Linked DNA regions of Styela clava. The protein of the gene in region 1 binds, or shares a complex with, the protein of each later gene. Links are inferred from orthologs where the notes say so. Each region holds a gene or a part of one and is shown on either strand. Other genes may lie near its edges.

Region 1 (6,877 bases):
TCATGAGCAATATATACATCACAAAAAGGACAATGAAATGATATTTTGCTATTAGGTGAACATTCATTATTGTTATTTTCATGGGTGAACGTGATCCTCTTTTTATTATTTGTACCTGTTTTATTACCATGCTTGTTTCTCATATGCCTTCGTAAATTAGTTTTTCTATTTACTTTCAAATCACACAGCGGACATTGAAACGGTTTTGCACCAGAGTGTATAAGAAAATGGCGTTCTAAATCTGTCTTCAAATTGAATGTTTTTTCACATACACTGCAACGATAGTGTACTGTTTTTAAGCCGTTTGATGACAAACTAATATCTTTGAAAATAACCAAGGAATCTTTGCCTAACTCCATTGTCTCTTGTTTATGATTAAGAAGATTGTGCTCTCGGAATTCCTTTTTACGTTCAAATGTTATATCACATTCTTTGCATTCGAAGCCTTTGTTTTTCAATTTTTTATTTCTCACTTCATAATGTTTTTGCAGAAATTTTTTATGGCTATACATGCCAAATTCTGTATAATATTCATCTTTCTGCTTTTCAGTATGTTCCAACATATGACAAGCTAATTCAATAGTACTTGTAAACTTTTTTTCGCAGTCAACACATCGTAATATTTTCAATAGACCACTGCTTTTATCTTCTAAATTTTTACCAATAGTTTTATCCATGAAATATGAATTATCGAAAGACTACCAAGTACCAACTGATAAATATATTACACACATAAATATTTCGTCAAAGCTAGCCTAGTAACTGGAAGAAAACAAATTTCGAATAAATAGAATCATTTCAGCAAAAACAGCTTCTTCTCTTCATGCATTTAGTCTAATACAAATCTTAAACATGTCTTTGCTCATATTACATTACATGTATGTTTATTGAAAAACAATAATAGGCTACAGTAATAGAATACAGTAATACACACAGTATATGCATGAGAAAAATGAGACACTCTTCTACAATATTTCGACAGCCTCTGATATATATATATATATATATATATATATATATATATCGATATTATAAAACTTGTGTATCTTTAAAATGTTACAATAGAAATGACAACAAAAAGTTAATGTAGACACAAATAGAAGTATTGTCAGCATATTTGGATTACAAATATTAGAGTTGGTACATACCAGGAAACTTTATTTTCAAATCATATAATATTAAAAAATGATTTTTGATATCGTACTATCTACGGAGCGCACTTAATTCAGACTGGTGGCTAATTTCAAGACAAAAAAGGACAGTTTTTCAAACAATTTTCATACAAAATATTCATTGCGAAATTCCTGTTATTAGAAGATTTACAATACAGAATATTTGAGACTTGAATGAACTCGTCATCTGAATCAAATACAGATTTCAGAAAAAAAAAAGAGTTACAGTATATTGATAGTTGATATTGATGAGATTACTACTAATTCTTGCCCCAAAACAGTAATTAATTCAGTGAAAGATGCATATTTTGCCTCTCAATTAAAATATCACAAGTTTTTCGTGAGCACACCAGTCAGAATCAGGTTTAGCTAGTTAGTATTATTGCAGAAGCATGAATAACCAGTAGCGAAGAAAAAGGAGTTTTAGTAGTTCACAGATTTAGGGCAATATAAGCTTGGAACTTCTCCGACTATAACCCACAATGAGTAAAACAGTGACCACCAGATCAAAAACACTGGAACAGATTTTGCTCTGTATCAACATTTCAAAGGTGATAAACAGAGGGAGACATTTTAATGATTGTCTTCAATGACTGAGGAAATTCCAACTCATTGAGTACAAAAGAACTGTATCTCAGATGAAATGAGGACTCACGATCATTTTTATTTCAAGGTATTCTTGTACTTGTTTGTGAGCTTACTAAATTGAATTATTTTATTATAAAAAACAGTACAGGAATATCCAGAGCGTTGCTTAGAATGCCACTTATGATGATAGCGAAAAAAAATGATTTACATCCCAATTTTAAGGTTAAATTCTCTAACTATATAAAGTTTTTATATTGTCGTTGTCGACTAAAAATAACAAGGTAGTTGTTTTAACCCAGCAATGAATAATATGATAAGAATGCAAAAGACCTAAATAATTTTGCTACAAAATTTTGTATTAAACGAGTTTAATAAAACATTGTAAATAGTACCGGTATATAACATTTGTTGATAAAATAGCAGCTTAAATACAACAAACCTGACAAGAAATCAGGTTGAACTAAGATTTAAAATAATTTTTTCAAAATAAAGTTTTCTAATACCAAGTGTCATTTTTTTTTACAGTGTCTCTTTAGAAGTTTTGCTAGGAATATATAAATAAACATGGATAGAGATAATGTTAATTTCAAATTCCTATGTTGTAAAATATATACTTTTAAATTACTATTATAAAGGGCCCGAATAAAACACCAGTAAATATTCAATAAAAAAGCAAACTTTCAAAATTCCTATTAGCATGTGTACATAGCAGATAACTTTTAAACACACAAAACAAACAACCGGATTGCAGTTGCAGTCATGATAAACAGCAGACTTGACTGCTGCTTTTTAATCCGCCTCAGTATTATATTATACAATCCTCCTAAGAAAAAAATGATTCAAAGATTTGATTAAATGATGCCAAAAACAGAATACGTTCTCAAATATTCCTATTGGAATATGCTTTAACGTTACTGCATAGTCCTGAAGCATGACCTTCATAAATCATAATGCACAAATGTTCGGACAAATACGAATTTGATGTTTTTTTCACAGTTGAAGAAAGTGAATTGAATAGTATTACATGTTTTCTAATTTAATTAGTTTAAATTAATATGAATATTCTATTCAATATGGAACTTTTTCCAAATGATTATACACTGCGAATTTCAGATTTCAATTTGTAGAAATGCACAGAACTAAAGTTATCATAGCTGTATAACAAAACTGGTGGTATTGATAATTATTAACACATAATGCAAAAATATATAGGTGAGTATAAGGTTTTATATTCGTTTTGCTCCGACTAAATTACTCTTCCTTTACTGATTCATCTTGTTCTTTTAAGCTTTGTCTGTATTTTACAACTCTGTAAACTTGTGATGTACCAGTAATTCCGAGCCCGACATTTACAGAAAAAAGAAGCCAGTTCTTAGGAATAATAACCAATGAATATCTCGACCATATGAATCCTGTAGCCATTAATGAAACTGATTGGTTAAGACTTAGTTTATCTGGGGGCCTAAAATAGTCAGATAGTCCAGCGATAACGAGTGCCCATTTAAATCCTGGAGCCCAGAAATGTATTGTTTTTAATCCAGCAGGGTGGTTCCATCGTTCTTTCATTTTTGCAGACATTCTACTTTGCAGTCTGTTGTCCAGTCGAACCAATGCATGGCGTATACTCATATTTTTATCAACGCCTTATATAAAAGTATCATAGATAATAATCTTAATAATAACAATTTAATCAGTCATTAGTTAACGGCATGAAATAGAATTACAAAGATATATATATATATTATATATAATAATACACTATAGATTTGTTAAATGACTGGTGAGAGAAGCCGGGATACCAAATTGCAACATCAATACAAAGGATGCTGATCATAAAAATGGGAATCCAGAGATATCTTGAGTCAATATGGGTATAACCAAATGATAAATGAAATATTTTATTTTAATAGGAACAGTATGATGATATGAGAATAATGGGGCTATTTCAGACTTTCAAACTAAGTCAATTTTATGAATGGAATTTATATTATATCGTCTAGTGAAGCTGTCAAATTTATGTTTTATTAAGTAAATTTTGTTTCAGCGTAATATAGCACCACACTTGCATATGTACCTTAAAATAGGTTGGGATGATAACATGAACAAGATGCGTTTATTCTGTCCATTGAGAAAGCCTATTTGGTTAAGATGGGTCAATCTATCATGACAGAATTCTAATTTCATATGCAGCTGTGGGACTGTATTACACTAAGCTACAAAATTTGATGCAAATATTCTATTTTTCAAATTCTGAATACATTTAAAAAATTTGGAAAATATGAGTATAAAGAATTAAAAAAAAATTGTTATCAATGAAAAATTGGAGCCATTTTGGCAATTTAAAACATGGGTCATAACCATAAAGAAAAAAAATGCAATCAGGTAGGAATAGAGAAACCAAAAAATCACTATGATTAGCCTTCTAAGAAACATACGATACAAGCGAAGCGAAATTTGAACATATTCGGAGCATGCTTTTAGTCATTTAAATATTTACTGAGATTCAGGAAAACTACTTTGCTTATGTTGAAGTTTGGGAAAACGAGTAGAAGCATTTATTATTTGGAATAAAATTCTGCTCTTATTGCTCTGGAGGTCCTGAATGAAGCACATGAAAGCTCCTTTGTATGTCAAGTCAAAAATTAATCTGGGATTACTGAAATCTGTGGGTTCAAATATAAATAGTTTGGCATACGACAACTCAACACAAAATCTTGCTCGGTGAATTTCTTTTTTTAAATTCATGTGAAACGCAAAGTCAGTTTTGGCTCACTTGTTCAAAAGCTCGACACAATTGAAGTCCTAAAACACGGTGCATAAAATGCTCATTTCAAATTATGGTCCATTCAAGCCTCTTACGAAGAAACCGCATAAAATTGAAATATTATACAAATTATTATGTTTATCAAATGCAGACAAGACAAAATATATGACAATAATTGCAATTCTATGGACAGAACCCAAATCCCAAAATTCTGTGATGCCGTTTGAATAGATAACAGATATGTAATTTTTATAACAAATACTGAGTCCAAATAAATTGAGTCAATTTGTAAAACTAATTTCTCTGTTCAAAACTTGTATAATTTTTAACCATAGACCAAAACTTATTATCACAATTCTTTATCAAAATTTACCACATTTCAACATATCAATATTTAAATAATAACAATAAACAATAGCAGAAATTGAAAATGTAATAAGTTGAATGGAAGCACGAGTCTCCCTTTATGAAGTATTAGCACATATTAATATTTGAGAACACCAATGAATATGCATGTGTATGAACTATGAAAAAACAACTGGTATCTTGTTATCAGCTGGGGGAGAGTTTCTTTTTACATATTGAAACTTTTTCTATTTCAAAATGTGGTTAAATGAACTGAAAATATTCTTAGAACAGGGGCTATTAATATAGACATTTTTTTCGAATAATGAAATAGGACAGTGTCTAGGTCAACAATGGCCAAATCCTATATTTTACGCCAAACCAAATTCCAGACAAAACAAATCAGGAGATACATGGTAACAGCTGTTTGTTTTCAATCAAAAATCGAATACAGATTATTGACAACTCCTTTAAATACATTTACAACATTAAAGAATCATTTTAGTAATTTAAAATAAATCATCGGGACCAAAATCATTATACACTGTGTTATTTTATCTCATATTGCACATGAATGACATAATTACAATTTTTTCCATGTTGTGATTTTCTTCGTTAAACATAAAGCTAAAATACTCAATACCTTTGATTGATGAGCAGATTTATATTAAATACCGAAACCTGAAATTCTGTTATTTATTAATGATGAAAAACGATCATCACCGGTAATATATTCCATGTATCCGAATCTTTTAATATTGTTTGAAGGAGGCTTTTGAAGTTTTATACCAAATTGTTCTTAAATTTATTTTAGCTATGGTGAATTCACGAATATTCATGGAATATGAAGTATTTATAGAGATCCGGAATATCACTGCAGTAAAGTAATAGTATATTCAAACAGATAATTAATTGTTCGTTTAATCAGATTCAGAGATTATACACAAAAAATATCGAGATTTGACTATTTTCGCAATCACAGGGGCAATGGGAATCATACACACGATCACAAAGCAAGTTTGATGATAATCGACCTGCCAAGTAGGCTATGAAGTTTGCCTAATAAGATTGTCCGAATCACTGTACGAGTACATCTTCATTCAAGCATTTCGTACCTTCCCTGGCACATAATTTTTATCAATGGTTTCATTCTGTAGAAACATATGGAGGCAAATTTCATTTTGCGCCAAAGGATGTCCTGCTACTTTGTTAATGAATGATTCCAACTTCTTCCTTCGATCTTCAATAAAATCTTCTTCGAACAAACCTTCGTCGCTTCTAAATGGTAAAAGTCGTTTCAAGGCTTTTCCAGGAAGAGGTGGCACCACAATTTTGCTATCTCTTTCTAATTCTGAACGTAACCACTCAAAATCACTGTATCTTCGACGAACTGTCGAGTCTTTAACCTTGAAAACCGGTAAATTCGTCTTCATTTTTACTTCATAATCAGTGTATTGGCTCTTTGGCCAACCGCCACCTATATGTGTCTCCGGATTCAGCACTTCTATTTCAAGAAAATTAGCAGGTAGACTGTAAGCATCGCTAAGATCTTGACGCGGGGCATCCAACCTTTTCGTGTTTAAATCATCCGTGGCCATTCTATTGTTAGTCTAAATATTACACACGTGAAAACCCGCGAACTGGTCTTAAAATCCCTAGAAAAAAAGACAGTTTTAAGGATTGACCGTGCGATAGCAAGCAAATAAAAGTGAGAGCACCGTCTGTGGTGAGAAGTGAAGAGTTAACGCGACTCTCTATCGCCCTGCGGAAGACCATCGCTTGGATGATTCCTGTTACCATGGTGCTAGACGACAACTGAGATATTTTTTGACCAGGTAGAACCGATTTTTAGATATTTATCCATGTTTCTATTATATACCGGTATATCCTAATTTAATAACAGTTACATACGTAGAAGATCATTCATAAATAGGAGTTATTATCGTGTAATTGGAAAATAATGTCGCAGGGGGAGATTGAATTGCATTTAACGTTATGTCTGTACTAC
Region 2 (6,891 bases), on another chromosome or scaffold:
ATTTTGTAATTACTTTCAATAACAATGTGATACATAAATAATAAATAAAAACATATATTTCTCATCAAAATTGTAAGCGTAATAAAATATCCTAAAAATAAACATCCAACAATATTGAATTCATATTGTACTTGCCATAGAAGTTGATTTCTTTGTTTTCAAATATGATGTTATATCAAGATACGCTTCATCCAAACCCATTGGTGAAAAGTTTGAATCATATTCCGCAAGAATTTCACGAACTTGAGCACTTACCTTGAACAAACAAAATGAACAAAAAGAAATTGAAAAAATTGAAAAATGAACACAAAATTCTCACAGCTAAAATGTCTATGCAAAGTTGCAAGGAAATACAAATAACTGATATAAATTGACTTGAAATTTTCTGACCAGAGATCCTATCTAAGTTATCTGAAACCTGTGGGCCTGATATAATATTTCAGTTGCAATAGAAAAAAGTTCAAGCATACACTGAAAAGTTCTGATAGGTGTTTTCCTGGGCATAGATTTGTGCCTTTTACGTAACAATTGAAATTTTAGCAGACTCTCAGACTTTTCACTCAGGTGGATTTGGGGCATGTGTGTATACAGTAGCCTACTTCATTCATTCCGTAAGTGCTTGCCAGAAGGTCATATAAATTATGGAAGTTTTCTTTATAAGAGTGGGTGGAGGGCCACACACGACTCACATTTTCAAGGTTTTGCTAGATATTTGTCAGTTTTTAGACTTGTTTTATATGAACCTCAATATTTGTTAGCCTCAACTCGCGAAAACACTTTTGAAAAAATAATCCTCTAAAATTTTGCAATGGTAGAGCACAGAGAGAATTTTTCTGGGGTTGAGGGTCGGGAAAAGGTTCATAGAAAGGTCCTTCTAACAACAAATGAATTGAAACAAAATATTCTTCATACTTCTCTGTATTTGCCAAAATTGAGTGGAACAAGAATCAGCTCAGGACACAATTTCTTTGCTATAAAACCTGGCATTGCAGCTCTTACGCCATATCTTCTAGCAATGTAGTTGGAGGTTGACTGAAATCAATATCATCAATAGTAATATAGATAATAAATCATTAATTATAATTAATTCTAAAAAAACTTACATAAGATAGAAATTTGATATTTTTATAAGTTGTATGGAGGGCGAAGGCTTTATTTTGTGGTGAACAACAGCAGATATGTGCATAGAAAATTAACGAGTTATTATTTCAGATGCAAAAGCTCGAATGGGAGGAAGGCTCTCTTGTAATCAATTACCAAGAGAATTTGAACCATCGAACACAGGCAGAATGGAGGGTGCAGTATGAAGCATATTTTAAATAATCAATACACTTACAAGCATATCTGAGCCTCCCACTGCCATTGGCTTATTTTTTAATTCCGGATTGTCTCTTTCCTCAACAGAAGCATAAAATGCATCCATATCAATGTGCACTATTGTTCGTGATAAATCTCTGGATGATTCAAGTTCTTTCAAAATAACATTTGTCTAAAATATATTAATAAGATATTATCTCAATTCTCAATATAGAATCTTGAAACAGAGCGAAGTCCCTAAAATAACTAAATCATGTGATGAACCATGATCAAGCATCTATTTCTCACAACAAGAATCAAGGAAAAGTGATCAGTTTAATGATCCTGATCCTCAAACAGGTGGAGAAAGCAGTAACAACTGATAAGTGTTTCAAAAATGTTGTGTCACATTTGTCCAACTGTACTATTGCATGCTAAGAAATACCTATTGTGGAAAAAATGGTAAAGTATGCATAATATGAGGTGGAATTCATGCTATGTACCGGGTTAGGGTAGATTAATGCTTTGGAACTTGGCCGAATGCTATATTGAACCATTTGAAAATGATATTCATATGAGTGGGACATGTGGTGGGATAAGTGTGACTAATTAGGACAAATATGGGGCACCACATTTTTGAGACACCCACAATTGATTGTGTAAATGGCTTTAAGAATACTATTATCGTAGTTATTTTACACTTATAATCAAGCTTATTTAAATAAGCATTTAAATTTGTGATATATGCAAAAATACAATTGAATAATAGGCTAGTTAAGTTACAAAGAGAACTGATTTAATATAAACAAAAAAATTTATTATCTGAGAGACTGAGACTCTCTTCAAATGCATGTAAAATTGTTTGAATTAAATTCTCTTAGCGCCACTCAAAATAAATTATTATTCAACTTTGTGAATAATGATGTTTTATGTTCTACGAATCGGATAACAATTGTATGCATGAATGCATACTCTGCATAAAGATGTTTCCATTTGCTCAGGAGTGAGTTTTTCAACTTGTTCCAACATCTTCTGAATTCTTGCATCAACCTGAGCATCCTTTTTTCTCTCATTTTCGTAAAACTTTGAACCAACTGAATTTTCATGAATAATCCTAAACAGGAATGTTGATAAGATGTTAAAAAATACCGGTAATCATTTTATTACAAATATGTTCTCTAAATCATTGATATCCATTGAAGAATAATTTCCAGTAGTGGTATACAGCTGCATTCGTTTCGAAGTTTGTTAATGTTGCATGGATGAATGATTCTATTAGGACTTGGTTCACATGATTCTCATGGGAAAAATTGAAATGGTAGAAAATGTGTGATCGTATAAACTCAGTAGTTCTCTCTATATCCATGGCTACTTTTGTAGAGCCTTGCTTGGAGTAAAAAATGTATGAATACGCCATATGAAAACATCCAATTTACATTGTAACTCATGCATAAAAGATAAATTGATATTAAAATATAAGAAACTCATATTGCACACTGACTTGTTGATTTTCTCCTTGTCAAGACCTTTCATGCCAGCTTTATTGTCATTCAATGCCATTCGAGACAAAACTGCAGTATTTTTATTTCTTTCAAATCCATCTTCATCATTCACATCATTTTCAGAACTAATTGCCGAATTCATTTTAATAGCCTAAGCAATAGAATGACTGTAAATCTAAAACTAAAAAAATAAATGTGGTTATTAACAGGAAGTTAGGTAACAAAGTTAACCCGCATTAAAAATTTAAATATATGCCTAATCATTTCCAATATTCATTCGTATTTTTTGATGGTTTAGACCAGCATTTCCCAAACTTTTTCGGCCACGGAACACTTAGACTTTTTATCTCGCCTCGCAGAACACCAAAAAATGGAAAGCTAAAATTGATAAAGAAAAACGGTGTAATGTAGCGGTTCCCAATGGGTTCGCTAGTATATATTTATGGTTAAACCGTAAATATGTTAAATCGTAAATATATACTACTATGGTTAAACCGTAAATATGATTGAATATTTTACATATTACATTTATTATAAATGTTTTATTGTTTTCTAATTAGAATGCTGTGTATATGAATCAATAAATTCACCAATTCACAATTTTTTACCTGTCTATGTCGTTTACTTTCCATCACGTAGTGTTTGCCTCCAATGTTACCTCTAATGGAGATAAAAGTACTTGCTGCAATTTCGCGAACTGCAGTTTATTTATCTGCTGAATTGAATTTAGCGAACATAAGTAATTTTTCAGCATTTCATAGTAAAGCCAGGCAGAGACGGAGGAAGAAGAGTTGACCCTTGGCCTTTATTCTTTAGACCCACTTGTTTGCTTATAACAAAACCAAAAGGATTGCTGTACTTAACAGTCAAAAAGCTACGCCGACAGTTAACGAAAATGTCACTCCTCTACCTTAGTTAGTCCGCTTTAGGCCAACGATGACGCGAAATTGAACGGTCAGATGGGCAACAACTTCACGATCCCTAGATCGCAATGGCGACATTTTTGATTCCTTCTCCACAGAACGCTCGCGGAACACAGTTTGGGAAACGCTGGTTTAGATCAATGACATCTATGTAAATAAAAGGCCTCTGTGAGGATGTCAGATTAGGAAATTCTTAACAATATCAAATTTTTTAAAAGTTTGAAACGACTTAGGTAGTATTTAGTGCAAATGATTGTGTTTCAATTGAACTTAATAACTTTTTCTGTAATGATATATAAACAATAAATTACAAATCCAAGTACAATAAACTACAATTTAGAATCATAACAAACAATATAACAACAGTGAATTGGTCAGTTATTCTCATCCATTTTGGCATTCTTTAATGGAATACTTTGCATATAATTGAAATCATTTCTAGAAACACCAAGAAGAGCTGCAGCACGGTCTGTCACGGGTCGTTCACCATAAATTTTAGCAAGTTTTCTTGCAGGCTCTTCGTCACAAGTTGTTGGATTTAATAAACATTTCAAAAGAATTTTATCTTCAGAGTCTGTGAAAAGATGGAACCCTTCAGGTACCTCTCCCTGATATATGTAATATTTGGCAATATCCTCATTGCCGTTACATTTAAACAACACTTTATAAATTGATTTTGAGTCCAATTTTGTAACTTTTTGCATAGATTTCACAAAGTCATTTATTAATACATAATATTCTTTTTGTGATAGTCCAGGAGATAAACTATTCCTTCTGCTTTCGATTTCAGCTAAAAATGATCCCGGTCTCTTTTCTTCGAGATCCGATGTTGTAACAATATCAAGTTGAGCAGGAATTGATGTTGATTTAGCACTCGTACCAGGCATTGTAGTATTTCTATTCTGAGGAGGTGTGGGTAATGGACCCAAAACCCTGCCCTCTAGTGGATATGAAGATTCACGTCCTTTTAAATGTTTTAAATATCTATCTCTCAGTGATTGCCAGGACCGTCCTTTCAGTTGGAACATATTTTGTTTCTCAAGTTTTTTCCAAAATTCATTTCCTGATAATTTACGTTTATCTTTCAGCTTGGAATCTCGAACATAGAGTAAAATATTGATATCTTCTGTTTTTGTATAAGTCATTCGTCCTTCAGCATCGTTGCCATTGACATTGTAATTACTAGGTCGACAATGATATCTCTCCTGTGGCATAAGGCTTCCGCTGTTCGCAGAATCAAGAATATATCTTGCAGATATTGTATTTTCCTTCCAACTGACTTCTCCATCAGGTAGAAGGAATATGGCATTATCTCGATAACCAAAAGGTACTTTTTCTATGTATGGAAAACACAAACCACCGCCCTGAATAATGTGTTTCTTGACTTCTGCTTTTATTGAACATGGTCTAATAACAAACACCATAGGTGTCTCGTCTTCATTTTGAAATAATCCACTATTATCGTCATGAGTAGAAACCATTACGAAAACTGAACATAAATTTAAATCTGTTCATAAGTGAAACAAGAGAGTAATGCTACCAGTATACAAAGCTTGCTATAAAGATGGATGAATGAGCAACAAAGGGGTGGTCGTCAACGTCAAGTAATAAAAAGCGTCCAACTGAACTTCAAAAAAATTTGAAACTATATGGCTAGCAACTGCTTTCACGTTTCCATACAGAAGATTTGAAATTGATCTGTTCAACAGATGCAGAGATAAGAGCTTTGTACCTTGACAATCAGCCCAACAACAACTACGATAATAACAGCAACAATAATTTAGCAAGCCATGAACAATTCATTAGGTTGACAATCGTATACAATACATTTCATTTCCATTTCAATTATAGCTATTGAGAATGATTAGTGTAATGACTAATGACGAATAGTAGTCTCTATTTATCCAGTTCTTAATTTTATAATTGCATGTTTATCATTTGCAAATATAACTGATATCCTTATACAATGTAGCCTATATCTTATGGAAAAATTACATGGATTCATCAACATAAATACAAAAATATACCTACAGGAGTACAGGTAATTACACAATCGAGCTAATTTAGCAAACAGTGAATATTTTTCAATAGGATTTAGAAACTAAGAATAGAAAAAAGACGAAAGCAATAATAACTTTATCACACACTTTATGCTAGCATACTTCTTTTACCTATTACATTGATAAAGAATATGGTTCAAGAGTTTTTTTCTAAATTGACCAAGCATGAATGATTTATATACAGATATAACAGTTATTTCATACAGTTGAAATATTTATAATTTGTTCGCAGAAAATTGGGAATGGGAAAAACTATTTTTCATTCTATTCTTCATATTGTTGATAATACAGTAGTATTTATATTTGTCACATGACTACACAAAATAAAATCATTGCACTGGTACATCAGAATTTAAAAAAATTCTCCATTTATCCAGATATCATGGTAGGCCTATCAAATAATAAAGAAAAAATGTAACGATTTGCATAAGCATACAAACAATTATAATGTTAATCTTTCATTCAATAATCATTATTATATACATTCCATTCATATTTAGAAAAATTTATATAATGAGGTACGGTATTTTATGTAGAAAAAAAAGAAAAAATTACCTTAGTTCAGAGTTTCTTTGTAGCCAAAATTTATATCTCACTAATAATAGCAAGAAAAAACACAATAATTTGATAGTAACCTATTGAACTCTCTTCTCGTAACAATGGCATGTAATAGCCTAGATCAGGGTGGTCCAAACCCAGGCCCGCTGGCCACATGTGGCCCGCAGCGTCATTATCTGTGGCCCGCGTCGCCTTTGCTGAAGGGTAATCAAAAAATCGCATTTGGTGTTGTTTCGCCATAAAATTAATCAGGAAATCTTTTCGACATCACTAATGTCACTAAATAGACTAGTGTCACGGCTAGCTAAAAAACCAACTAGCGAGTGTGCTTGGGTGCTCCAAATTGTTCACTGGCTTTCTATCTTTTTGGTTGGTAATATTATTATATTCTAACAGTTATAATAACTAAACATTAATGTTGTGGCCTGAGAATATAATTGCTTCCGGTGATTTTTTGCAACCAGCCTAAACAGTATTAGCTACAAAAAATTCTTCCAATTTGTCAGAAAAATTGTTAATTACTCTCCTGTACCTTACATTTGATAAAAAAAA
Region 3 (7,857 bases), on another chromosome or scaffold:
GCCACACATAGTCACATGGTTTTTAAAGGATGTCATCGTTTAATGTAAAACAGCTTCATAGAAAAATCCATTATCTGATACTAAGTCGCTCTTAATCTCTCTCAAAAAAAAACAGGACCCATAAAATTATTAGTTACTTCAACGAAATTTATGGAACACTTGAACTTCTGTTTGTGTATGATTGTCCCCAATGAGTTTCCGTAATCAAGGACGCTTGGCACAAAAGTTATATTCTCTCCATGTTACAAATGACCTTGGGTTCTGTTTGTTTAGTCATCTTGTATTATCTTATATTATAACTAGGGATGTCTAAGCGAACAGAATATTCGAAATCTAATCGCAAATTATTCAAATTGTTTTGCGGCTAATTCGCAAATCGGTAAAATGAGGCAAAAAAAGATTCTATTTTGGACAGCACTAATTAACCCATCTCAAGTTGCACAGCCTCCCGTTCAAGTTTTAAGTTCTTGAAAAAGCAGTGCATGTAGCATGTACAATGCTATAAATATTTCCCACTATTTATGACAAAATTTGAATAAAGAGTTATTTTTTCTTGAAAAACCCCATAATTGATGCTTGTTTCTGTTGTTTTTTTGGTTGAGCTGCAGTAGATATCGCTGGAAATTTTTTCGTTTTTGCTTCTGTGTCACCATTTGCAGTATTGTTTTTGTGGTTTTGTTCCGCTTGATCATTGTTACCATTAGCAACAGGTTCTGCATCATCGCATTCTTCAAATTCATAATACTTTTGTGTTACCATACACCCTTCTTCATCAACAAATGTTCGACTTTTCATGACTTTTTCCCTCCGTTTATTAGTTTTGACTTCTTCAACAAATTTTTCTTTCACAGGTTCGGGTTCAATCACAGGTGGGGGTGAAGGAGGGGGAATTCCCATCTCTTCCTCGTAATTTTCATCTTCGTTTTCATCCTCACTACTAGAAGATAACATTTCCTGAATTCTGCGTCGTTTCTTCGCTGGAAGCTCGTTCGAATCATGCCGCGAATTTTTTTTGTTTTTATTCGGCTTCGGTTTTTCAACAGGTTTAGGTTTTGTTGATTTATCAGCGACTTTTTTCAAACTTTTTACAGATTTTTTATCAGTTTCAATAAAATCATCCTCGTCATCCGAAAAATCATCAATTCTTAGGTCATCTTCTTCAACTGAACGTTTCGATGACGATTTTTTATTTTTTTTCTCTGTTTTCAATGATTCTTTTGTCTTATCTTTTTGAGGTGACTTTTCAGTTGTACTGTCCCTTTTTGAAGGCTGTTTTTCACTCTTATCGGACACTGTTTTCTGTTCTTCTTTTATCACCGGTTTTACAGTCTTACTTTTTGCAAACGGATCGGTTTTATTTTTTGTTAAAAACGCAGCCACGCCCTTTTTCTGCCCCTTTTCCAATGGGGGATCAGGTTTTTTATTAGAGTTCAATTTTTGGGGTTCAGCGTCGCTTTTCGATGCTATTTCCTCTTTAACTTTCTTTTGTGGGGGTGATGTTTTCGTTTTTGTAAAAAAATTGACTTTCTGCTGCACAGGTTTCCCTTTTTCAAATGCTGGTTTCGCAAATTGTTTTTGAAGATCCGCAGAAATCTCTTTAGCACCACCTGGTGTTTGTTTTTGTTGTTTAACTTCATTCTTTGATAAGCACTTTGCACCGTTGTACGTTATACCCCCAAATTTCGAAATTCCGCTCAGATTTTTACGATGAGTGTCATAATCAGTGGAATACAGCACAGCACTGTGTTGAAGTTTCATTTTTTGCACGCTATATAACGAAACACTATAAACTTTATCCATTTTTGATTTCGCTGAGTCAAGATCGACATCTCGAACGACCTTTACACTTATTCCAGCTGAGTCATGTCCTATTATTGCATAAACAATGTGAATTCCATTGTTTTGTTTCTTGCATGAGTCAGCGTAATTCTGAAGAAGACTTTTTGCTTTGTTGGTTGGAATAGCGAGTTGTTCGCTCAGCCATTTATAAGTGACCTGGAAGGGAAAAAGAATAGTTGTTGAATAGGTATGGAATTGAAAATATTGAAATTTGAGGAAAATTCCCATTTTTAAAATTTGCAAAGGAGTAAATGAAATAATAAGGTTAAAAAACCGGGTCTAATGTAGTTTCTTACCTAACATACTTCTAGTGGGCTTAGCATGACGATTTTTTTCACGTATCAATACTATCCCCCACCTGACTACACCATCCAAAAATTACGTCACAGTGACGTAATACAGCCCTTCAAACTATACGAACTGCCATCCAAGACGTACAAATGAGCACCCGAAATCGAACAGTTATTTCTCTCATTTTCTCGTTGAAACGATTCCTATAGGAGAGAGACCGATAACGTCAGTCAGTTCTTTATCGTCGGCGCCAATGCCATTTCGGTCCATCGTGCGTATATTTGGCAAGCTCTATGACGTCATTGTGATGTCGTAGTGATTTAATCTTTGGATGGCTTAATCAGACGAGGGCTAGGATTGACATATCAAAAAATTGTTATGCTACGCCCACTAGAAGTACGTTAGGTACGAAACTACACGAGACCCAAAAAACCTTCTGACCTTGGATATATGATACTTCGTTCAACCTTTCTATGCACAAGATTTTCGATTTAGCCACAATATTTCTATTTTCTGTCATTACCAAGACAGCAAGGCCTGTCTACTGAACTACTAAATGCATATGATAACTTTTCACCTACTCGGACTTGACTGAATAAGGAGATGAGAGACCTGGCTTGCAATATAATCAAGCCCTGTTATCCTCAAATATGTAAAATTTCATCTCCTGATCTCTGTGTCCCAGAGCTGCAGAGACAGGAAACATGAAAAGTAAATTGGAAAAACAAAAACCCCAAACTTACGATTCGATTTTCGTCATCTACGAATTCGTCCACAGTCGCCAGAAATGCATCCAACTCATCCATACTTCAAGAAATAACATATAAACAAAAATTACAGGGCAAAATTTTGTTGAACTGCAAAGTGCAATACCGGTATTATTAAAATGTAGAATTAGGAAACAGCGCGAAAATTAATGATTGACGCGTTGGTCATGCGTAATAAAATTGTCACAAGATAGGTTTGAAACGTTTTGTAGTAATGAAAGCTTGATTTAATTTAAAATATTAATCAACTTATTATTTTAATATAAAAATGTATATTCAATTTTGTTTTGGTCGTCTTCCATTTTTAATAAATCATTCAAGTTTTAGATTCGGGAGATGGCGATATAGAGCTAATATGGTAAATTGCAGGGTAAAAGTGAACAAAATGTTCTTTTCATTTTAATTAAACTTATATCGAATTGCCACACGGTATTCCGTGTTATGATAAATTAATTTAACCGTTGCATCTATATCGTGATTTCTACCCTCATTTTTCGCCTGAATACAGCGGTTTTACTTGTGTTCTCGAAAGGCTTGTTCACCGAAGAAATGTGACAGTGAACACGGAATGCTCGGAAAAAATAATGTTTATGGCTACTTTACCCCGCATAATCCTCGTCAGTTCTTACATGAAGCGTAAGATCTACATCGAGTTAAGCTTAAACTTAAGTATACCTCACGTTGTAACCGTTTTAATTAACCAACGTTCGTCGGTATTAGTTTTATAAAATGTTATCGCAAGCTTGCGCTAGGGAGCAATCGCACCATATTGCAGGGGTAAAAATGAGCAAATGTTTATTCTTCTGCGAATCTTAAAAAAAATGGTTTTCCTCTCCTTCGTCTTCCTGTATTCGTCGGTAGTTTCCGTCCGTATCAGAGTTTTAGTCTTTGAATTTACAATCCTTTCATTCCTTGCTTTTAACGGATGGAGGCAGTTGGAAGGCCGCGAATTTATAAGGGATATAAATGCAGGAAATCTGCAAAAACCAAATTTGTTATTTTTCGTATTTCTAAAAAGATAACGCTAATCTGAGTATAGTTAGAGTCTCTTAATGGTAATGGCATTAGGCTGATGCCAAATCGTCCAATCGGAAGTTAAATTGATGGAGGGGGGGGGGGGGGGGCTAGACCACTTCACTCACAAAAGCCAAAATATAGGCAAATTAGAGTCCAGGATTTTATCAAATATTATAATCAGTAACTTATAATTAATTTTAATTAAAATGAACTACGGCAGTATGGTACTGTAGGTAGGATAGGATTTACATATTTATCCCGGGGGAGAGGAAAGCCGATAAGACGGCTTATCCATATGGCGAACCACGGCCTCTCGTCCGGTCACCATTCCAAGTCGGGTATGGGATTAGTTATATTGTTTGTTTTCGGAAGCATGGACTTGGTGGTCGAGGAAGCCGTAACCGACCAGCGGTGACGTGAACCACTCAACGACGGCGAGGAGTCCAGCAATCCTCTCGCACATAATCATCCCTGCATGGGATTCGAACCTGCGAACCCACGCAGAGTAATAAGAGGTGCGGTGGCGAGCGTATTCCTAACGCTTAGCCCGCTGAGCCACACCGCCGCGCCAGGTAGTAGAAAATATGTTATGAGAATATATAGTCTAGCTTCCTAAAGGTTCAAGCAAGGTTTCCTTATTGAAAGTCATGGATTTTAGACTAGGAAATATAATTGAAGTTGTTGATTACTCAAGTCAGTTCAAATTCATCATAGATAATTCATCAGCCTTTCAATATTGTTTCTTTATTTCCATTCTTCTGAATTAAGTGTTTTATAGCAGTGGAAACAGTTAGAAGCTGTTAAAACTGCAATAACGAGGATATAAAACCTGCAAGCTTCAAAAACGTTTTGGAGCGTCTGCATTTGAGATGAACTGGAATATTTGCCAAAGAGTGGGTAACATGCTGCAAACCTCAAGAGTGTTACATCATAATACTTCCACACTGGGATGTATTTCAAACTATCACATGAAATGTAACTTGCCAACCAGAACTGATTTAAATTTTATTCAAAAAAGAAGAACACAAACTTCATATTTTTCTCAAAAACTTTTTGAAAACTATGCACAAAGGACTTCATTCTTATGTTGCTTTTCCACTGATGTTAAGAGCCGATTTCCATCAATTATTACCTCACAAAGAAGGGATGCCTCTTCAAAACGATCAAGCAAAAAAGCTCAATACTATGCAGAAAAAGGGTGAGATAATATATTCAATAGTTAAAAACTTAGATAAGATAAGATAATTTATTTTGAACTCTGGTATGGCACAAAAAATGACTACACACAGGATCAAGATATAAAATATTTTTGAATTTTGAAAAATTATTTCAAAACATGAGACAGAAAGTATCTCGCTTAGGTTATAGGTGAGAAAACATAATGGATACACTTTTTTTGTCATTTCGCTGGGGAGCATTGTTAGCGTCTATTATTGTTAGCGTCTATTCCTATTTATCTTGGAAAAGGAATGCCAATTTGAGGGTTCAATCATACGACAAATCGTGGCATCTTGTCTAAATTGGGAGTATCAAAATCAGTTCATTTTTTCAGACTTGCTGGACTCTTCCTGTCGCAGAGTGATATAGGCAACCACTGGTCGGTTTCAGCTTCCTCAACCAAGAGAGGCCGTGGTTCGTCATATGATTAAGCCTTTTTTATCGGCTTTTCTCCTGGGGTAAAAAATTTTATCCTAATTTTCAGTTTAAGGAATTCATCCACTTTTTAGACATTCAAGTCGAACGAAGCTATACTATACTTTGAAGCAATACATTCGATCACCAGAGAACGCTGAAACGTTCGTGTCCCATCTTAAAGAAGAGGAACGCCGGTTTTTACTCGCTGCTTTAGAATCTTCTATTGGTATAAATACTAACTCTGAACAGCATGGTGAGCTTCTAGCTTAGTAAATGTTTTATTAATATTTAAAACATTTTGAGCTCTGCACGGTGGCTGGTGATGTAGCACAGGGCTTCCCAAAGTTTTAAGCTCGAGACCCCTTCCATATTGAAAAAATTTCCGCGACTCCTGTTAAGTCGGTATTTCCATGCAAGCGTGCCGCTTCTCCAATGTATTATCTCGAAATTGTGAGATTTATGTTTTGCTCTAGTTGTGTTTCGATTCGAAAGTCTAAAAAAGTACAAGAGATAAAGCACTTTGTGTGAGATTGGTGTACTCTTTGCGACCTTTATAATTCGTTGCCCCCCATCTGCAGGGTCACGACCCCCAGTTTGGGAAGCCTTGATGTAGCATGTAGGAATTCACTCTTCTATTTTCTATGGGGTTTTGAACTTTATGAAGAATATGCTCATCTCTGAGCAACGAATCAAAAGGCAAATGAGTTGAGCCTGATGGTTATTCTGATGATAGGGTCATAGCACATCATAGGAAGCATTTGACTCAACTTTAAGAATTGAATATTTTAAGCTTTGCATAGCAATGGATGCTGGTGATGTAGGATCTACCAACTAACTCTGCCTATCTTGGAATTTTTTATAAAGGGCACATGGGTCATCCCTGAAATGCCAAGGGTGCCATACAGTATTCTGACAATAAGGAAACATATGTTTAACTCTGTCTCTTTTACGTCTGAATGGCTTTCAAGAGCTTTTCTTCTAAGTATACTCCACCAAATCAGTATTTACTAATGTTTAATTAATCACCATAATTCTATATAGTTTCAATAGTTCACAGCATTTCACTGACCATGAGTCTCTTTTAATTCTGAGTGAGTGTGTGTATTGGACCACATTAATTCCATGTAGTTTTATGTAGTCTTACTGCATTCACATTACCTTGAAGAAAATTTCTGTATAAAGAAACAATCGAAAAGATTTTTACTGCTTTATTCTTTTTTCTCTCTGAAATCATCAAAAATAAAAGTCTTGCTAGCTTTCACACTTAGCTGTAGAATTCATTGGATATCATTAGGTTTATCCATATAATTCCTTGAATGCCTAATTATATTATTTCCATGATTAAATGTTCATATATTAAAAAAAATTTCCTGGTAATGTAAAGTTGATGAAGTCACATTTTATTTCTATTACGTAGGGAACCCGTAATTCTGAAACGTAATACAGTGCAAACAATAAAATGCTTGATTGGGAAGGAACGTCTCCCATTTCCAAGAAGGCAGAATTAGGGAAACCTATATTTGACTTTCAATTTGTGATTTTAAGCTTGATGCTATAAAGTGTAAATGTATATATTATTTCCAGGTGAGGACTCAGGACAGATCACCAAGCGACAGTTATATCTTGGTGAGTAATTTTACCTTTACATGTGTGTCTTTTAGAGACTCGAGAAAAGCTGAAAAAAACAAAAATTTCGGACTTCGGATTTATAAAAATTCATGTTTAATAATGTTTCAAAATTTTTCGTTCACCTGTTTATTGCACTAAGATGAAATGGCCCACCTTTATGGGATTCAAACCCTCGATTTTTATCCTGTTCTTCACAAAAGTCCATTATGTCCCATTCCATTAGGATGATCCAATTGCATTAGTTCAATGTTGTGGCATCACAAATAGGCCATTAGTTAGATGCCACACCATAAATTATGCATGATGTGGTCTGTCTTAATGCAATAACAACTGTTATGACTACTGCTAGTCCTGAAGATTGTTGACTACAGCTTTTGATTTCTGAATAAAGGTTGGCGTATGAGTAAGACGTCTTATCGACTTTCCTCTCCCTTGGGATGAAAATGATATCTTATAGCAGTGGTTCCCAAACCGCGTTCCGTGGGCCTCGTGAAATGATTTTACATACCAAATACCGCCAATTGTTATGTCATTATCGCAGTTTGAGGGTGTGTGCTCTTTATTCGGCCCGCGAATATCCTTTCGCTTCTAATTTTGGGTCAATCAATTTTAAGAACCACTGCTTTATATTGTGCCTGGCTAAATATAGCATGAGCTTAGTCGGGACGTTAAGTTTTCT
Region 4 (6,836 bases), on another chromosome or scaffold:
CGTCGCTATCACCCTATACGAAAGCAGTCGAAATCAGCAAATGAATAAACAAGTTTGCCTTCGAGAGATTTTGCTGCAACACTCCGGACTCCTCCACTCTTGTTCATCAAATTATCTCATATTCGATGAAAGCAACATGCGAATTTATTCATTGCATACCGTGTGGAGTCCAGGCACAAAATCCCGAAAGCACAGTTGATACAGTACAACGTAATTCGTGTACATCGCTTTATGGTGTGTATCAGTGTGTCTGTATCACGCAATTGCCGTGAAAGAAAATTCGATGAATTACAAGCATATAAGTTGAGATTCAAGTTTGTCGAATATTTTCTCTTAGAATTTAAAATTTTTCGCTGTAAGAATAGAAGGCAGCATCTGATTGTTCATTTAAAAATGTTGAATCAAATAATAACGCAAGAAGTTCACAGCAAAGAAGATAATCGAACAATACTATCATCCTATACGACAGAAGTTAGGACCGGAATTTGAACAAAGAAGTTTTCTTCGAGAGATTTTGATGCAACTCTCGTAACTACTATAAGTAACCCTTGTTCATCAATGAGAACAGCGTGCAAATAATTCATTGCAAAACCATGCGATGTATGAATCCAGATGCATGGAATAATATGGAATTATGGAGAATGTTGAGATGAATGAATTAGTCAAGTGCTCTTTGATCTGAACTGCCCCATTTGATGCCAAGTCGTATCTCGGTAGATAGATATGAAAAACAACGCGTTGTGTTTTTTGAAATTACTTATCCCTTCTAACCATGCTTCTATTCATTTATTTATTTATGTAGAACAATATTCACTTCGTCGTCCGCACTCCAAAATAGGGAGTGTTTGTTCTATTCGGGAGGAGCATCTTCTTTTTTATTAAACAGTGCTGAAAGTAATTTTTCTACTAATGAAAATCCTCAAGCGAAAATTTTCGTTATGAATAATTGCGAGGTGTACGACTGCAAATATGCTTTTGTGAATGCGAAAGCAAGTTGAAGATTGCTATTTATTTAGTATTAAGAATAGCTTTAGAGTAAATTGTCAAACATATTTCAATCAGTTTTAAACCCGTACTATAGCTTTTCAAACTTTCATGTGTATAGTTGTTTCGCATTGTGCATGTTTCTCCGATAAATTAAATGTATATCTTATTGGACACGAAATGTACATATGGATCGTTCTGTTATTACGTTGTTGTTCTCGTTGATATCTTTTTTCCTATCGTCATGAACAAATCGCTTTTCTCATTAACTATTAAACCAATTGCTTTGAAATTTCAGGGATTAAAGATTGTATTTTTCGCTGGAAGACTATTACTTTTATTAATTTCAAAAATTTATGTAGGCTTTATGAGATTCTTTTTTGTGTGCGATGACGATTCATCCAAAATTGTGCACCTTGTGGCGGTTTCCCTTTCTTGTTAGTCGTGAAGAAGGAAATACATGCAGCCTACTGTGACAGATTGCATACTCGTACTACTTTGTTTTTGCATTCATGTCTATATTTTTGATCCTCGCTCACTTGTTTATTAGTAATTTGCCTTTTTTAATAAATGATTCTTGTTTTTCCTCACGCTACACCATTGCAGTGATTTATTATACTGATACAAATGACATTTTATTTTTGAAGGGCGGGAAAAAGTGAAGGTTTTTGATGGAATGAATAAGGCTCATAACGAAATACAACATATACTTATAACTTCAATAGAGTGAAACGCAAGAGCTACGGAATTGTCTTCACATATACGTTTAAGGTATAGCAATAAACAAGTCTCAACTATTTTTGATATATATATCTTTAAAACAAAATATACGACTTCCTGTGACACCCCACAGTTCGTCATATGTTGGCTAAAACTAAGTCGACTACGGTGAAAATTAGGTTCTAATAATAGCGCACCCACACAGTTCGTCATATGTAGGTGAAAACTATGTGGACTATCGAGGATTTACCGACGGAACATTGAGAGCACGCCATTATATCTATAATTTACAATGTGCATCATAATAACACGAAAAATGAAATTGTTTTGGTGAGTTATGCTTCCGGTTAAATGGGAATATTGTAGGGACTTGGTAATGATTTTCTATACTTCCTCTCAAAATCCTATGTTTACATTTAGGAGACGAAAGATCATTCGTATGACTGATCACGTCAACCAGGAAGGGAAATACTCACCAATTACACGTTCCATATACACGGGCTTAGAATGCAAGCTTGGGAATTGTCATGGATAATTATTGCGCGGAGAACAACCGAAAAAGCAGACTGATGAATATGAGACTACGGCGCCGCACAAGTTAGCCGTAAACAACTATCGCCTGGGAGGAGTCCAGCAATCTTCTCGCATAGAAGACCACTTTCGGAACAAGCAGGATAGTAAACGATGCGACGGCAAACATCTCCTTGCGCGCCGTCGAGTCTGGATATGGCGGGGAAGTATAACGATGTTGACGCACAGTCATCCAGTGCGGAAACCACGGAACCTACGCGGTGCAACAGAATGACGATTTCACTTTTCGCCGAAGTACGGCCCCGATTGTATAGCCGGGACTTGAAGAGTCTATTTCCGGCAAAAATAGTTCTAGTAATCGTAACTGATCACGGATTGGAACTCGTCTCCGATATACATGATACGAAGGGGTGCAGCGACGAAAAGTCCCTCGAGCCTTTTTAGTTTATTTTCCGATTGTTTAGCTAGATCTGAACAAAATTTCTTACGAAACCTGTATGTCCGCTGTATTGAAAATTTCGGTAGAATGTGAAATATAATAAGAATAGAAAGATTTGACCGTCAATTCAGCAATTAGGAAGCTGTTGGTCTGTGATGCACGTCTGTTGTCTTCAGCTAAATCTCTGATTTTGTTCTTATCGTATCGCAATCTTTCATGCGAGTGTTATCAACACACCAGCCTTTCATCTAAACTCATTTCAAAATCGTCCATGACTTGGCATATTAACGTGTACAAACATGAATTGGTTCAGACAGTTTCTGATAAATATCTACTTATGCCTGTCTTTTTGTGCTTGGTAATATTTGACATTGTGTTATCCATAGTAGGCATCATAAATGTATCATCTTTCAATGTTGTAAAAGCATTCCAACTGATATATCCTAACGACATGGTGAACGTAGCCTAATAAGACAACACATACACGAGCGTTTCAAGCATAATAGGTACAGTAATAAACCACATTGTGAAGTATATAGTCCAAAGTTTAGTTACAAACACAAAACAACCTACCTTCCTCGTACCTTTTCTGCAAAACTCCTAAATTTTGGCGCATAAAACGACAGTCAATCCAGGCTTTGGGCGTGGGCCCTTCGGGCAACACCGAAATCACGGCTTTACATGTTGAATTAAACGATATTTTGCCCAAAATGAATTAACATGTCACACAAAATAGATAGAAAAATAACTATTGAATATAAAAATATTGTTTCTATTCCACTTACCTCAAAAAACGAATCCCTAGGCATGTTGAAAGCCGAGTCCTACACAGACAGAACAGCTAGCTTTTGACTTCCGCGACTCGAGTAAAATTTCCCATAAGCTGTCTAGCGCGAACTAGTGGCTCGCGAATATACCGCGATATTTATGGCTCTTTGACATCTTAAATCAAATTAAAAATGTATCATTTCGAGTTTAAATTTTAACAAAATTTGTGGAAAAATATTAATTCATATATTTGTTTTTTTTCGTTTATTTTTAAATCTCACAAAACGAACGAATATGGATCCAAAAGTCCTCTATTTTCAGTGGCCAATGGAGCGTGAGTGTTGCAATTTATGCAAATAAGTTTGCGGGGGTTTTATATTTTCCGCCAGCTCCCGCGGTCCCGTTTTCTGGTCGTACAAAAGAGTCTCACATGTGTTTTGCCCGGATTTAAGTTGCAATTGTATCATGTTTGGAAATTTTTCATATGGCATCACAGATTGGCAGCAAAACCTTATGTGTTGTGTGCAACATAAATGTTGTTGAAGATTGTAAACAATTGATTTTCACTCATGATTATGTAGAATTATTTTGGAAATAGTAGCCTAAGTAGATTACCGCAGTAATGAGAATTACGTAATGTTTAGTCTGAATGTAAAATTAAAGGAATGCTTTGGAAATATCCTTACTATTTTATTCAAAAAGGTCTAAACATGCATGCTTTTGTATAAAAAATATTTTATAATTGTGATACACACCTAACATAGGTACGGTACTTCTAGTGGGCGTAACATTGTTTGTTTTCGATCTCATACTATAACTGTTTTGGTATTTTCTAACTTAAATTCTTGTTTTTACATGTTTAGATTTAAAAAAAAAGCTGTTGCTAGTGGCAGTGTATTGTCTTGGATTTGTGGAGTTAATTTTAATATTCCAGCTACTTAAAATTAACTTCTACAGTAGTTTTGGAACACAACACATTTGTAAGTCTGCTGTTTATCAGATGTGATAGGTTGTATAATTGTCACAATGTCGGCATTCAATAGAGTGATTGTTTTAGTTGACATGGACTGTTTTTATGTTCAAGTTGAACAAAGACGAGATCCAAGTTTAAAAGGGAAGCCTTGTGCTGTTGTGCAATATAGAACGTATCGTGGTGGAGGAATCATTGCTGTTGGTTATGAAGCTCGAGCTGCTGGAGTGACTCGTGGAATGATGGGAGATGATGCCAAAGAACAATGCCCTGAAATTAATCTCTGTCGAGTGCCAGAAGCAAATGGAAAAGCAAATTTAGACAGGTATTTCACTTTTATAATAAAAACATTATGTAATGATAAAATATTGATTTCTGGCTTCTATTTTCAAGTGTTAAAACTGTAAAATGATCGAAATAACTGCTTTTTCTAAATTTTCTTTTTTCAATATAATACATTATTAATTAATATGTACGGTAATATCAAAGTAAAGTTAGTAACCTATTTCAATACTTGACCTAGACTGGCAACCGACTTTTGGTTTTCCCTCCATCAACTTTCCTCTCCCTCTGAGCTAATATGAAAAATCTTATGCTTTTCATCCTTTTAAAGGTACAGAGAAGCCGGTGCAGAAGTGATCAATGTATTGTCACAGTTTGGCGGTCGAGTAGAACGAGCAAGCATTGATGAAGCTTATATCGACCTCACAGATGTCGTTGATAAAATAATTTCTCAAAAAAGAGAGGGAGATTATTTGTCTACTCATAGACTACTCAACACTCATATTGTTGGATGGCCTGTTGAGTATAAAGAAAATGAAGAAAAAGAGGCTGCGAGGTTTGGGGGGTTGGAAGAATGGTTAGGTCTAATTTCATCTGAATCTTCAATCAATGAGAATATACGATTGGTGATAGCCGGGGCCATCACTGAGGAAATCAGGGCCGCTGTTTATCACCAAACTGGTTTTCGTTGTTCAGCTGGTGTTTCCCATAATAAAATGTTATCAAAACTTGCATGTGGTATTCACAAGCCAAATAAACAGACTATTTTACCGAAAGAATCAATTACTTCACTTTTCAGTTCGGTAAAAATTGGAAAAATTCGAAATTTAGGTGGCAAATTAGGAAAATCATTAATGGTAAAATTTGGTATCAATTTTATCGGTGATGTGGGACAAATTCCTATTCAGAAACTAGTTGAGGAGTTCGGCCATAAAAATGCTTATTGGCTTCATGAGGTTTGTCAAGGTATAGACCCTGAACCTGTGAAAGAAAGGCATGTGGCACAATCTATTGGTTGTGGAAGAAATTTCAATGGTCCAGAAATGTTAAACACAAAAGAAAAAGTCAATAAATGGCTTGATGCATTGCTAGTTGAACTGTCTGAAAGGCTCGAAAAGGATAAAGCTGCAAATAATAGAATAGCAAGAACATTGACTGTTCATGTTGGACTAGAAACTGGACAAACCCTGTCCCGATCGGGACCGTTGTCAAGCTATGATCGAAACGATTTACACCGGCAATGTCTTCAACTTATTAGGGCTTTAGATACAACATCTTCAAGCGATAAAAGATGGCTGCCTGCGCTCAACAACTTGAGTGTGAATGCAAAAAAGTTTGACTCTGTCATTGGAGGGTCTTCAATTCTGAAACATACTTCTAAAATGAAGCAACCATCTATTATAGATACTGTGCAAATACCTACTGAGAAACCTTCAACTTCTGAATTACAGTCAGTAGCACAAACTGAACCTGAAGAAGTCCAAAATGAATTGTTCGCCTCTCAAAACCAGTGCCTGGAAAAACCTGAAAATCAAGATGTAAAATTGATTGAAACTGGAAGCCAGAAAATTGATAAGTTTTTTAGTGAGAAATCGAAAGATAATTGTATTTCAAATATGAACAGTTCTTTCAACAAGTTGACGCAGAATTCATCTCAGTCCACACCCACAAAACGTGATGACGTTTTCTTTGTTGATCAGTCGAGCCAGAAACAAAAATCTATTTCACCAAAGAAATCATTTTTTGAATCTGTTAAAAAAACTGTACAAAAGAATGGCACCGTTTGCAAAATTGATAAAATGTTCTTAAAAGAAAAAGAAAATTTGACAGAGAAAGCTGCAGTTTCATATACTCTACCAGATGGGCCAGTTTTTCATCCTTTATTTGGGGAAATAGACAAAGACGTTTTTCAGCATCTTCCTTTGGATATTCAACAAGAAATTTCAAAGTCGTATAAAATCACATCTTCTGTTATTTCATCCTCACCGCTGACTTCGTCCCAATATCAGCAAGGTTCATCAAAACATGGTGACAAAGGTCAAAGACTTATTTCTAATTTTATACCTAGTTCTCAAAATTCTCCTGAAACATCGTATATATCGCCCCAAACTTTACACAAAAAACGTAAAAGCTCTGGTCCTA

The links.
Region 2: the proteins of DNA repair protein REV1-like (region 1) and DNA polymerase kappa-like are in contact, whole or in part, in an NMR structure (PDB 2LSI), measured with the Homo sapiens proteins. The link is inferred for Styela clava from reciprocal best matches to the Homo sapiens genes REV1 and POLK. Residues at the interface, in NP_057400.1 of Homo sapiens: Asn1158, Leu1159, Ala1160, Gly1161, Ala1162, Asp1167, Leu1171, Leu1172, Glu1174, Trp1175, Thr1178, Ile1179, Met1183, Glu1185, Asp1186, Gln1189, Val1190; in NP_001374042.1 of Homo sapiens: Lys564, Lys565, Ser566, Phe567, Phe568, Asp569, Lys571, Arg572, Arg575.
Region 3: the proteins of DNA repair protein REV1-like (region 1) and DNA polymerase delta subunit 3-like are in contact, whole or in part, in an NMR structure (PDB 2N1G), measured with the Homo sapiens proteins. The link is inferred for Styela clava from reciprocal best matches to the Homo sapiens genes REV1 and POLD3. Residues at the interface, in NP_057400.1 of Homo sapiens: Asn1158, Leu1159, Ala1160, Gly1161, Leu1171, Leu1172, Glu1174, Trp1175, Ile1179, Met1183, Glu1184, Glu1185, Asp1186, Gln1189, Val1190; in NP_006582.1 of Homo sapiens: Gly232, Asn233, Met234, Met235, Ser236, Asn237, Phe238, Phe239, Gly240, Ala242, Ala243, Met244.
Region 4: the proteins of DNA repair protein REV1-like (region 1) and DNA polymerase eta-like are in contact, whole or in part, in an NMR structure (PDB 2LSK), measured with the Homo sapiens proteins. The link is inferred for Styela clava from reciprocal best matches to the Homo sapiens genes REV1 and POLH. Residues at the interface, in NP_057400.1 of Homo sapiens: Asn1158, Leu1159, Ala1160, Gly1161, Leu1171, Leu1172, Trp1175, Ile1179, Asp1181, Pro1182, Met1183, Glu1185, Asp1186, Gln1189, Val1190; in NP_006493.1 of Homo sapiens: Thr528, Glu529, Pro530, Phe531, Phe532, Lys533, Lys535, Ser536, Leu539.

The regions. Positions count from the first base shown.
Region 1 is NC_135254.1:14,376,591-14,383,467, forward strand, and holds the start of DNA repair protein REV1-like, read right to left. Parts: upstream 3,012-6,877; 5' UTR 1-3,011. Other genes in the region: mitochondrial pyruvate carrier 2-like, read right to left, coding at 3,012-3,338; sorting nexin-12-like, read right to left, coding at 5,970-6,467. UniProt on the Homo sapiens protein: Deoxycytidyl transferase involved in DNA repair. Transfers a dCMP residue from dCTP to the 3'-end of a DNA primer in a template-dependent reaction.
Region 2 is NC_135257.1:17,204,162-17,211,052, forward strand, and holds the start of DNA polymerase kappa-like, read right to left. Parts: upstream 3,025-6,891; 5' UTR 2,941-3,024; coding exon 2,798-2,940; intron 2,411-2,797; coding exon 2,269-2,410; intron 1,490-2,268; coding exon 1,337-1,489; intron 1,033-1,336; coding exon 913-1,032; intron 256-912; coding exon 132-255; intron 1-131. Other genes in the region: telomeric repeat-binding factor 2-interacting protein 1-like, read right to left, coding at 4,096-5,202. UniProt on the Homo sapiens protein: DNA polymerase specifically involved in DNA repair. Plays an important role in translesion synthesis, where the normal high-fidelity DNA polymerases cannot proceed and DNA synthesis stalls.
Region 3 is NC_135257.1:21,470,394-21,478,250, reverse strand, and holds DNA polymerase delta subunit 3-like, read right to left. Parts: upstream 3,028-7,857; 5' UTR 2,937-3,027; coding exon 2,874-2,936; intron 1,996-2,873; coding exon 544-1,995; 3' UTR 20-543; downstream 1-19. Other genes in the region: transmembrane protein 65-like, read left to right, coding at 4,784-5,112, 5,642-5,802, 7,134-7,175. UniProt on the Homo sapiens protein: Accessory component of both the DNA polymerase delta complex and the DNA polymerase zeta complex.
Region 4 is NC_135262.1:4,868,207-4,875,042, reverse strand, and holds the start of DNA polymerase eta-like, read left to right. Parts: upstream 1-3,832; 5' UTR 3,833-4,468; coding exon 4,469-4,737; intron 4,738-5,025; coding exon 5,026-6,836. Other genes in the region: testis-specific chromodomain protein Y 2-like, read right to left, coding at 3,460-3,483. UniProt on the Homo sapiens protein: DNA polymerase specifically involved in the DNA repair by translesion synthesis (TLS). Due to low processivity on both damaged and normal DNA, cooperates with the heterotetrameric (REV3L, REV7, POLD2 and POLD3) POLZ complex for complete bypass of DNA lesions.